Drosophila melanogaster: one gene and its partner. Changing the gene in region 2 together with the main gene of any one other region gives a genetic interaction. Each region holds a gene or a part of one and is shown on either strand. Other genes may lie near its edges. The genes, in order: GstE1 and Sms.

Region 1 (3,594 bases), on a different chromosome or scaffold from region 2:
GCTCCGCAGCATAAATCAGCTATGGTCAGTTGCGACCCGGTCAAATAGGGATTATCCCCTAGAAAGTTCTCCAAATGGCCATATGCATCTTTAATGTTGTCCACCTTCTCCTTGGGTACCAGGCTTACTTGGCGAAGAAAATAGGGTATACTGACATTTCGCAGCGACATAAACAGAATGCTGGCATCAAAGAACAAACGCTGATCCACCTGGGCGCGCAACACCAGATCCCTGGGATATAGCTCATCCGAATTGGCATACTTGTCCACCAGGTAGCAGACAATAGCATGTGAATCCCAGATAAGGGCACCATTATCTTCGAGGAGTGGTACGGTGTGCTGCGGGTTCTTTTTGAGGAACGCATCCTTAAAGTGATCTCCTGCCAGTAGATCCATTTCCTTGTATTCGTAGTCCAAGTTTAAGGCCCGCAAGGTCAGCTTGCAAGCGCGAACAGGAGGACTAATATCCATGCCATACAAAACCAATTTATCCGACATGATGCGATCACCAGAGAGACCCAAGTTCCACTAAATTTGCCACACACAGAAATCTAAACGAGCTTAACTAAACAACCCAATTGGGTGCGCTGAGCTTGCCCCATTTGTATCTTAAATAAACTTTTGTAATTGTACACTGACGATATCATAAATGAGCGATAAAAATATTACGGTCGGGTTCCCCAACTGTGAGATAATAATTACTGACTCAAGTCCCATATTAAAGTTTATAAATTTCAGTATTTATTATAAATTCAAATATTTAAATAAATATAAATTAAATAAAAAAATAAATTAAATATTTTATATATATGTTATATTTTATTGAAGAAGTTTACGTTTTAGAAATGGATGTGTATGTTGTTAATTGATGGAATTCAAACTTGTGAAATGTCATATTTAAATATAAGTTTAGTTTCACTTGTCGCCCAGCTTGGTCCACTTGCTGCGCAGGAAGGCGACGTAGCTCTGGGCCGGAGCTTCGTTGATCTCCTTGTAGTAGGGCAGCTTATTGAGGCGATCCAACCAGGCGGTGACCTTGGGATATGTAGCAGGATCTATGTCCACGGCAGCGGGCACGGCGCTTACAGTGGGTCCGGTGGACAGATCGGCTAGGGTTAGCGAATCGCCGGCCAGGTAGGGGCTGTTGCCCAGGAACGTCTCCAGCAGCTTCAGACCCTGGTGTACGGCGTCCAGTTTTTCCTGGGGCACTTCGGTAACACCGTTTATCCAAAACGGGCGGCTGACATTGGCTATACTGGCATAGATTACACTGGCATCGAAGAAGAGACGCTGATTGACGATCGCACGCTTGGCCAGATCCTTGGGATACAGCTCATCCGACTTGGCATACTTGTCCACCAAGTAGGCGGCAATGGCATGGGAGTCCCAGATGAAAGTGCCATTATCATCGAGCATCGGTACCGTGTGTTGGGGATTCTTCTTCACATATTCCTCGCTCAGGTGCTCGCCCGCCTGAAGATTCACCTCCTTGTACTCGTAGTCCAGATTCAGGACCTTTAGGGTAAGTTTGACGGTCCTCACACAGGGACTGAGATCTGTCCCATAGAGTACAATTCCAGAGCTCGACATGATACGTGTTGTTTACCCGTCAGTGTTTTTCTTTCGACTGATCTCTCTATTTACTGTACATATATACACACCTTATTGCCTCAAGCTTTTTGCTAAATGAGAGAGCATTTCGTAAATCTAAGATAAAAGCTCGAAACCATGTGTTAAACAGTTAAAAAAAAACCATATATATAATATGTATGCCTATTTCATCATAACAAACATTAATTACCCCCAACTGATAGTTCTGGAATCATCTATATGATACTAATTTTAAAACACCATATGCAGTGGTGAACTACAAAAAACATATACTCATCAAAAACAAAGTAGGTCTCTGTGAACTCAGGAACATTGGTTGTCAGAAGAAATTAATTTAATACAGTTACTTGTTTTATGATTTATTGTAATATACATCTATTTGAATCATGTAGAACCCATGTAAATTTACAATTCAAGTCTTCCTAACGAAGCTTGAAAGTTTCTAAAAGCTTAAAGCTTAAGTTAAGCTGGCATAAAGCTTATCGTTATTTTGGATAAAATTGTATGATCTGATACACAGAAGTAATAATATTAAACTCATAATTTTATAATTATATTTATATGAAAATGTTTGCATAGAAACACTGCTAATGAGTCTGGTTACTTTAGGTTTCGTTTGGACGTTTCTAGCAGTGTATATAAGTAGCCCCTTTGGTGCTCCAACTATGATCAAATAAATCACGGGGACATTGATCAAATATTGACACAGCTAATAGATAGCAGACCGACTTATCCCGGACATTAATAAACAATCAGGCAAACTTAAACTTGCAGCATTATGACGTCTTTGTGGTAATTATCAAGAAACTAAGTTTAATATCTAATCTTATCGCGTTTGAAAGAAATTTAAATTATTTAGACTGCCTTGAGTCAGTTGTGGATGGCACACTGTCTGCTACGAATCTCAATTCAACCAGCTAGAAGGCAATTAGTTAAGCAACCACAATGGCTAACCTGATTCTATATGGCACTGAGTCCAGTCCGCCGGTCCGTGCCGTTTTGTTGACCCTTCGTGCCCTCCAGCTGGACCATGAATTCCATACGCTGGACATGCAGGCCGGCGATCATCTGAAGCCGGATATGTTACGCAAGAATCCCCAGCACACGGTACCCATGCTGGAGGATGGTGAGTCATGCATTTGGGACTCACACGCCATCATCGGCTATCTGGTGAACAAGTACGCCCAGTCGGATGAGCTCTATCCAAAGGATCCGCTGAAGCGAGCTGTGGTGGATCAGCGGCTGCATTTCGAGACCGGTGTCCTTTTTCACGGCATCTTCAAGCAATTGCAGAGAGCTCTGTTCAAAGAGAATGCCACTGAGGTGCCCAAGGATCGTTTGGCTGAGTTGAAGGATGCCTACGCCTTGCTGGAGCAATTTCTGGCGGAGAATCCCTATGTGGCCGGTCCTCAGCTGACCATCGCCGATTTTAGCATTGTGGCCACCGTGAGCACTCTGCACCTGAGCTACTGTCCCGTGGATGCGACCAAATACCCCAAATTATCCGCCTGGTTGGCACGTATCTCCGCATTGCCCTTCTATGAGGAGGACAACTTGAGAGGAGCCCGCTTGTTGGCCGATAAGATTCGCTCCAAGCTGCCCAAGCAGTTTGACAAGCTGTGGCAAAAGGCCTTTGAGGACATCAAGAGCGGAGCTGGAAAACAGTGATGCGGAAGCCATTGTCGCATCGAAAAGAGAGCATTGCCCAAAGTAAAATTGTATGTTAAATGGTATTTAATATGATGTATTAAAACTTACGCTGCTGGCAAAATGATTTAAAATGTATATTATGTTTGAATAATCTTCTTTTTTTCCCAGTGTATAGGCTCACTATATACTGTTCTGAGTTAACTGAAGACTTTGTAGCCATCTAAGTGCTCTTGGCCGGTAAATGTCCTTGATGGCGAACATTTTTTTTATGTTGTATATAAATTACTATCTAGCGTGGAGTGCATTTCCAATGGCAACGCAGCCAAAAGTTTAC
Region 2 (7,854 bases):
TGGGAACCAGCATCCGTACTGTGCCGGTGCGAGTGATTCTTTCCTTTCGAGGAACTTGGCTTTGCACGCCTGTGGAAGCTGATCAGCCCGCTGTGCGACTTCTCCAGCGGCAGCGTTTGGCTTTTGAGGGTGCTCCCATTGTTATTGACATGGTTTGCAGACGTATCTGCATTGCACTTGGCGAAACTGACATCGTATTGGCCACAGGCGGACACGGGTCTCTGTTGTAATCTTGGCGATTCGGGTGTCACGGGATGTGGCTCCACCTTACTAGGTCGCTTGCTCAGCAAACCGAACAGGGAGCTCGCGGTCTTGTGACCGGATCTGGGACTGCTGGTGGAACTGGTTATCCGTTCCTCACTTCCCGCGCTGCTGTGCTGCATGTTGGCTTTAGTCCGAACGAAATGATTCTATCATCTAAGGTGAAGGTGCTAAGTGGTTATCATGCCCCCCTTTTGTCAAGTTAATTCGCTCTATCTGCCGGATCTCTCGAACCGAGCTCATTGTGCGATGGCCTCTGGCTGCCGGCCATATAAATAGTAAAGCCAGACGTCATCGAGCGAGCACAATGCAAATGCGACTTTGGTCCGGCGTTCTGGCTGGTCGCAATGCAAATTATTTTGGGCTCGGCGATGACGTACACGAAATCAGGCTAATTGGGCTGACTGGCGGCGATTGCGTGTGCTGTTCTGTAAGATTTTAATGAAGGTAAACATTTAGGCGGGTTGGTAATACCAAGGGTATAATACACTTACTAACCTGCAAGCAACTAAATAAAAAAAACACATATGTGGGCAGATCCTTTGGGGCGAGAGAGCTGAAAGGATTCAGAAAATCAATATGCTGGGTAATAACTGTGGCGACACCGTCGCGATATATAAAATGGGGAGGATTGTGGGCGATTTGGGGGGTGGTTGGTCGCGGAAGGGTGGTCTTTGGCGACGACGTAACAACATTGGCATGCTGCGGCGCCCACGCATCCAAGCACTGAGCACTCAGCATCTGAACGTCTGAACACAAGCACAATATCCGTCGTCTGCTGGCTGATTCGATTCTCTGGGATCGAGAGATTTATAATTAGCAGACCATTGTTCCCGTCAGCGCAGCCTTGTTGTTCTTGTGTTGTTGGCCTACGTCTAGCATAAAAGCAGCAACAATAGCACATAGCACACATGCGATATTCAAGTTCAGGTTCAGGTGCGCATTGATTTCGCTCTTGGTGTGCTTTTCATGTTCCGCACTGGTACGCACTACCCTTCCACGCTGCTGTCACCTATGCGATTTATGTAATTTTTGTATGATTTACCGCGTTCCAATGTTGTTTACACCCAAAAACTCCGAGCAAGTGCGGAACTTGTCGTGGGAACTGCGATTTAGGGGTGGCAAAAGTGGGCAGCCAACTGCCGATAAGTGGGAGCACGTATCGATAGGTGCGGGCGGGGGTGTTTCAGTGGCTGGGTTGTGACACGATAGATTTAAAGAAATATTTCTTAAATATTAATTAAGATTTGTATTTAATTGTGTTTCCAGCAAAACGTACCAATGTAATATTTATTAGGTAAACATACATAACAAAGCGCTATATATTCAATACAAAATTGTGGGCCAAGTACCCTTCAAAAATTTATTAAGAGGAATTTATAACATTATTATTAAATGTACTTTATTATTTTTTACAATTATTTAATAAACCGTTTCTTATATTAAAAAAAATAATAAGGTTTAATTAACTGTATTATACAGCCACACTAGAAGTGCAATCGAAATCGACTTGCTATCGGTGCTCGTAAGGCGCATCACTAGTATTTCGTTTCGGTCGGTACGCGGTTCAGCGTTTTTGTTCAACGGATTAGCGCAAGTTAAGCACGATGGCGGCCCAGACGATACTGTTTGATTTCACGCTGGACAAGGACAAGACGGCGGATGAGGAGGCGCGCCTCCAGGTGGCCAAAATCCTGCGTAACGAGCTGGAGCAGCTGTTCCCCCAGCTGGAGCTGGCCTACTCGATGGAGTCGCCGGAAAACGGCTACTTTGCGGTGCTGCACGAGAACAAGGACACGGTGATTACCTGCCGCATCTTCCAGCACGGCCTGCTGACGCTCAACGTGGAGTACTTCCTGCCCGATGGCAAGGAGCCGAGCATATCCTTCGACGTACGTATTCAGTGCAATTTAGATTCCTTTAAAAAACTCAAAAAACAAGCAAGCAAACACCCGACAGCAGCACCACCACCCACATCTTTCTTACCCTCCCAGTTTCCGTGTCTCGGCTGATTAGTTGGGGAAAGGGTTTTCCACCCACCGGGTAAAATTGATTTTCCGCGCACTTGTACCCGAGTGTTGTTGCTTCATCATACATACATGTGGGGGTGTGTGCATGGCAAGTGGGCAACCATGTGGGTGGGTTGATTGGTTGTGTGTGTGAGTGTGTTCCTGACCACTCGGCGAGCTCAAATGGCCGGCACTTGGTCAGGGTCAGTTCGTCCGTCCTTGGCCTCAAGTGATGGCTGCCCCCATCCCAGCACTTTCACCAGTTTCTATTATCTAACACCTCTGAAGCACACATCACATACATAGCGATTTCAGCTGGGCTTTGCTAGGTTAACTTGTCGTTCCGGTCCCGTTTCTATGCTTTTCACATTTGGCCGGAGCACGTGGGTTGGGTTCGACTCGCGATCTATTGATTGGCGCCCCTTTGGGGCATGGTACCCATACTAATAAGAAGAAAAACACCCGGAATATGCGGCCCTTATTACAGAAACCAGATTTCAGGTTACACCCTTAGGCACGCATTATTTCATTTGATACTTAAACTTTCTTATACCAGTTTACTCTACTTACGCATGCACATATAAACAAACCTAAGTCAACAAAATGACTGTTGATACCACAAATCTGAGGGTTTTCAAAATGACAACCAGTATTTGTTTGTAAAACAACAAAGAATATAAAATTTGATAGAATATTTCAATTTCTTCCATCATTTGTTTAAGTACATCTAAAATGCTAGAGAAAATGTCCCATGTACATATGCCTACAGCTACGGTAAGCTAAATAGCATCAAAAAAATTAAATTATGTCAAAAAGTCTAAAATTGTTTTGTTCTATAACTATAGCTTTAACAAAATCCCAAGTAAAATTTTTATAAAATTATATTTTTATACAATGATGGAGTTAGTTAGGATATAATCTCAACAAACCTTTGTACTTTATAAATAATTTAATCAAGTAATCGAACAAAGAAATCAACCTAAACCAACTTTTCTATAGGAGTAACTAATATTATCAGACCCATTATTATTTCCTCGTATCATTTGAAATGCTATATCTTGCCGATCGCAGCTGTTTTATTCGCGAGTGCGGAACTTTTCTTATCTAGCCGTCAATATTTTTTCTGCTTACGACTGTTTGCTGTTGGCCTGTGGATTTCGCAAGCCGCATGTGGCTAAGCCTTCTATTGTGATTTCTGTGATTTTGCAATAACATATGCCTGCTGCACATGCAACTAAACAAATGTGTCGCCAGAATGCACATACTTGCATGGCTACTAGCTATATCTAGATATAGGTATATATTCCCTTTTTCGTTTCGTTCTGTTCACTTTCCTTTTTCATAAGTATCAAGTATTTGGACTAAAAATAGTATTTTTCTTGGGCCGGGCTGCCTGTGTGTCGCCGTTTGGTGTGAGTGGGGTGGGTCGTTCGAAGAGTTTTCCGCGCCTGGCGGATGAAGGTCACCTTCCATTAATATAATTTATTCATACTGAGTACCCCAGCCCCCATCGAGCCAACATGCACATTTGTACATCCGACGCCCCCTTGCAAGAAGGACCTCAATAATGGAATTACCATTGCAGACCATGCGCACCATGGAACTGATTTTGCGGCAGAAATTTGATTCCGATCGGTCCAAGTACTTGCCGCCGATTAAACGCGGCGGATATATCGACATATATATGACTAGCTCAGGTTGGTCGAACTTAATGCAACCTACATATATGTACAATCAAAAAAAATCCAGTTTAGTTCCTGCTAGTTTCATTTGCAATGAATATATATAACTTATCTACTCAAACTCACTTCACATACAATTACCTACAATTTATGCCGAAATTCTCTTTCAAAATTCCACTGCAGAATCTAGAACACCTGTGCAGTTTTTCCACTAGTATTTCCGATTGCCGCCACCGCAAAGAAAATAAATAAAATTAGAAAAAAAACCCTCATGACTATCACATAAATTGGACACCGTATCGCAGCTGATGTAAATTCACCGAGTTGTCATTTCCAGCCCAGAATTTGAACCGCCTCCCAAGCTCTGCACATCTCCAAAGCCACCGATCATGTTAGCCTAGCGTGTTACCTTCTAGGGGATTACTTTTCCAGGCCACTCCTGCATGCTAGTTTGTCTAATCTTTGGAAGAAGCCTTCTACCTTTGCAGTAGTGGTGCCAAGTTGCTCATATTATTGTACTGTGGGTTTAATCTCTTTATACCTTTATGTATCCACGCTGATTTTATATCAGCTCCTTGGCATCACTGCAATTTAGCATACCCACTGTTCTAAGATTATTATTTAATTTAAATTACGTTTTATTTTCATATCTATTCCATCGACACTCAACCGATCCATCGATCATCATGAACAACCGCTGCCACCATCTCCTGGACCAAATTACACACCAAAATTGCCACGAACTTGTGAATAAATGTGTAAACTATTGAATTATACTTACGCCCCAACGCACATGTGTCACCTGCCCCGCCTCGAAATCGATCTCGTACTCGTATTCGCTCCACGTCGTACGCTCGCTCATAAATTGGTTCCTCAACAATTGACAATCGACTACAACAACACGAAAATATCAATACAACACGGTTTATAAAAAAAAAAAACAATATACTACTATGTAAAATCGAACGGACATCCGCAGAGCGGTAAGAGCCTGGAGAATGTCCTGGCAATCAAACTGAAGGCCATCAAGGCCCAGAAGCTGCCGACGCTGAAGCGCGGCGATGTCTCCAGGTACTTCCCATCGTCAGGTAAGGCAAACCCAATCCGTTTGGTTAAACATATTGCAAATAGAGCAAATACTACTCGTACTACCGCTACTGTATGTCATCCGAATTGTGTGTGATCGTATGACCGTATGACCATTGAGCGTATGCAGCACCATCGAGCTGATTGTATCAGAGTTCTTCTAGTGGCACCCAGCATGATAGATCATTTCAGTCATTTACTTCTGATTTTCTCTCTATCTATATCTCGTTTACTTTCCGTAAGAGTGCATTTCGTTGGTCTTAAACTTGTTTCTCTGCATGCGACGCCTAACAATTGAGCCGAAATCAGTACTAGTAATAATCAATATCGCACTTAATACGGTCACTAATAAGGCATCACTAATCCATGGCACATCTTCCGCAGATGAGCGCATCATCGAGTACGACATCGACAAGGTGGTCTTCGAGGCGCGCTCGCCCTTCCAGAAGATTCAAATCATGCACTCCAAGACCCTGGGCAACATGCTGCTCCTCGACGAGCTGCAGAGTAAGTAAACCATACCTAGTATAGGCATCTGAATGCAATAAGTGGCACATTCACACATTGATGCGCCAACGGTGTCAGGGTCACCAATCGATTAGTGGAAGTGCCGCAGTAAAGGTCACGTGCAATTGCCTTTAAGAAAAGGTCATCATAAATAAATATAAACTGCACATAAACATAATGCACAAAAGTAAATATTCCATATCACGGGCATTTTCTGGATGCTAATGCTATGTTACCTGACAATTATTCCATATCACGAACACCTAGTTGCTTGTTAACTAAATATAATGAAATATTCTTATTGCTTAAAAGAAGAATAAGAAAGCTGAATTTGAAAACATGAATTCTCGACTAGATTAAAAACTTTTTAAGCTGTCGGTTATGAAAAGGGTAATAGCAACTTCTTTTGATTCTTTTTTAAATATAGATGTCTAATTTCCCATTTTCCACGTACAGACATTGCTGAATCCGATTTGATTTACACGGAGACCCTGATGTGTCGCGGCGTGGAGAACTACGAGGGCAAGGAGATCTGCATCCTGGGCGGCGGTGATGGCGCCTTGTTGTACGAGCTACTCAAGGAGAATCCGAAGCATGTGGTGATGCTGGAGATCGATGAGCTTGTGATGCAAACCTGCAACAAATACCTCAACGTGATCTGCGGCGATGTGCTGGAGAAACGCAAGGGCGATCAGTACGAGATCATTGTGGGCGACTGTGTGGAGTACTTGAAGAAGTTCATCGCCGAGGGCCGCAAGTTCGACTACGTTTTTGGGGATCTTACGGACATACCCATAACCGATGCCCCGGAGGGCGAGACCTGGGATTTCATTCGTACCATCTTCGAGCACTCCTTCAAGGTGCTGAAACCCGACGGAAAGTATTTGACTCATGGCAATGGGTCCACCTGCAAGGTGCAGCTGCGTCTATTCGAGGAGCAGTTGAATTTGCTGCGTCCCAAGGTGAAGTTCACCACCACCAAGGCGTTTGTGCCGTCGTTCATGGAAGAGTGGCTCTTCTACCAAGTGACTTTCGCCTGACAAGCTCAGGTGGACTCCTCAGCAGCAGCAGTAGCTACTTCTAGCGCACCACCAACCGCCAGTCACACACCAGCATCACACAGCATAAGTCAGGAACCGGGAACCGTCGGAGAGATGCTCCAGCTGCACTCCTACACTGTCACTATCCATGGAGCAGCAGTCGGAGTTCAGGAGGAGGAAAATATGAATAATGGAGCCGTGGGTCAATTGAAACCGCGACCAAGGCGTCGAAAGAAGAAGCGTGTACACTACCATCACACGCTGGTTTCTTAGTCCAGGAAACACGGAATCCGATGCACAAGCTAATCGCCATCATCGAAACCATCGCAACAAAACCCAAGACAGAGGAAAACACGCACTTCCAATGGCTGTTACTTACAATTGAAAACCAAACCAAATACTGAACCCAATTCGTTTACGCTTAAGTTAGGCTTTAGTTCCGTTTCTCGTTCACTGATTTCAATGCTAAAAACTAAGACAAAAGTACAACCTTTAAGCAAGGACAGGCTAAAATAATAACTTATGTATTCGTGTTTATTTGAATTACGCCTAAGCATAGCATGTTGGCCAACTATTTGTAATATTTCGTATAACGTGTACATCTATATAATGTAGACCATATGTTTAGTTATCCATTAACAAGCAAAGTGGAGCGGGGAAGGCCCAAGGATCGAGGATGTGTGTATGTGGGTGTGAGGAAGCGTAGCAGGAACACCAACTTTTATTGCTGTAATAACGATTAATACCAAACATTTTAAACGGGAGAACTAATAAAGTTAAATAAATAGTCGTACGCAGAAATAAACAGTGTGGTTTTCTTTTATTTTACCGGGTATTTTAATAATAAATCCTGGAATTCAATAAATTACAAATTCAATAGCAATATTCAAGTAATACTACGCATACGCAGTGTTGACCTATCCTTAATCAATATGGATAAAAAATTAATTAAGGGATTTATCGCTATGAAATTCTTAATATAAATAAAATTTTATCTTAATTATTTATATAAGTTTTTAAATTTAATTATTTTATTTTATCGTGAGCCACCCTAATCTTTTCATGACAGTGTTGGACAACCGTGCAATAGAGCACGCACTAAATATGCCCGCGGGCAGTTGAACGTTAATTTCACTTGTTGTTACGTTGGTTTTAATTTTCACCGGGAGCTAAGCGAACAAAATGGAGCGGAAACTGCACAGTGGAATGCACCATGCCACGCTGCGGCAGCTGCAGGAGTCGGGCTGCGAGATAGCGCCGCACAATCTC

Evidence for each region.
Region 1: of Sms (region 2) and GstE1, changing one suppresses a phenotype caused by changing the other (phenotypic suppression), as found in Drosophila melanogaster (one study listed by BioGRID).

Annotation. Positions count from the first base shown.
Region 1 is NT_033778.4:18,396,427-18,400,020, reverse strand, and holds GstE1 (glutathione S transferase E1), read right to left. Parts: upstream 1,629-3,594; 5' UTR 1,590-1,628; coding exon 915-1,589; 3' UTR 798-914; downstream 1-797. Other genes in the region: GstE2 (glutathione S transferase E2), read right to left, coding at 1-497; GstE10 (glutathione S transferase E10), read left to right, coding at 2,556-3,278.
Region 2 is NT_037436.4:12,271,189-12,279,042, reverse strand, and holds Sms (spermine synthase), read left to right. Parts: upstream 1-1,791; 5' UTR 1,792-1,868; coding exon 1,869-2,153; intron 2,154-3,855; coding exon 3,856-3,967; intron 3,968-4,931; coding exon of another isoform or gene 4,932-5,040; intron 5,041-5,422; coding exon 5,423-5,545; intron 5,546-6,001; coding exon 6,002-6,585; coding exon of another isoform or gene 6,586-6,858; 3' UTR 6,859-7,387; downstream 7,388-7,854. Other genes in the region: INPP5E (inositol polyphosphate 5-phosphatase E), read right to left, coding at 1-383; Pbgs (porphobilinogen synthase), read left to right, coding at 7,768-7,854.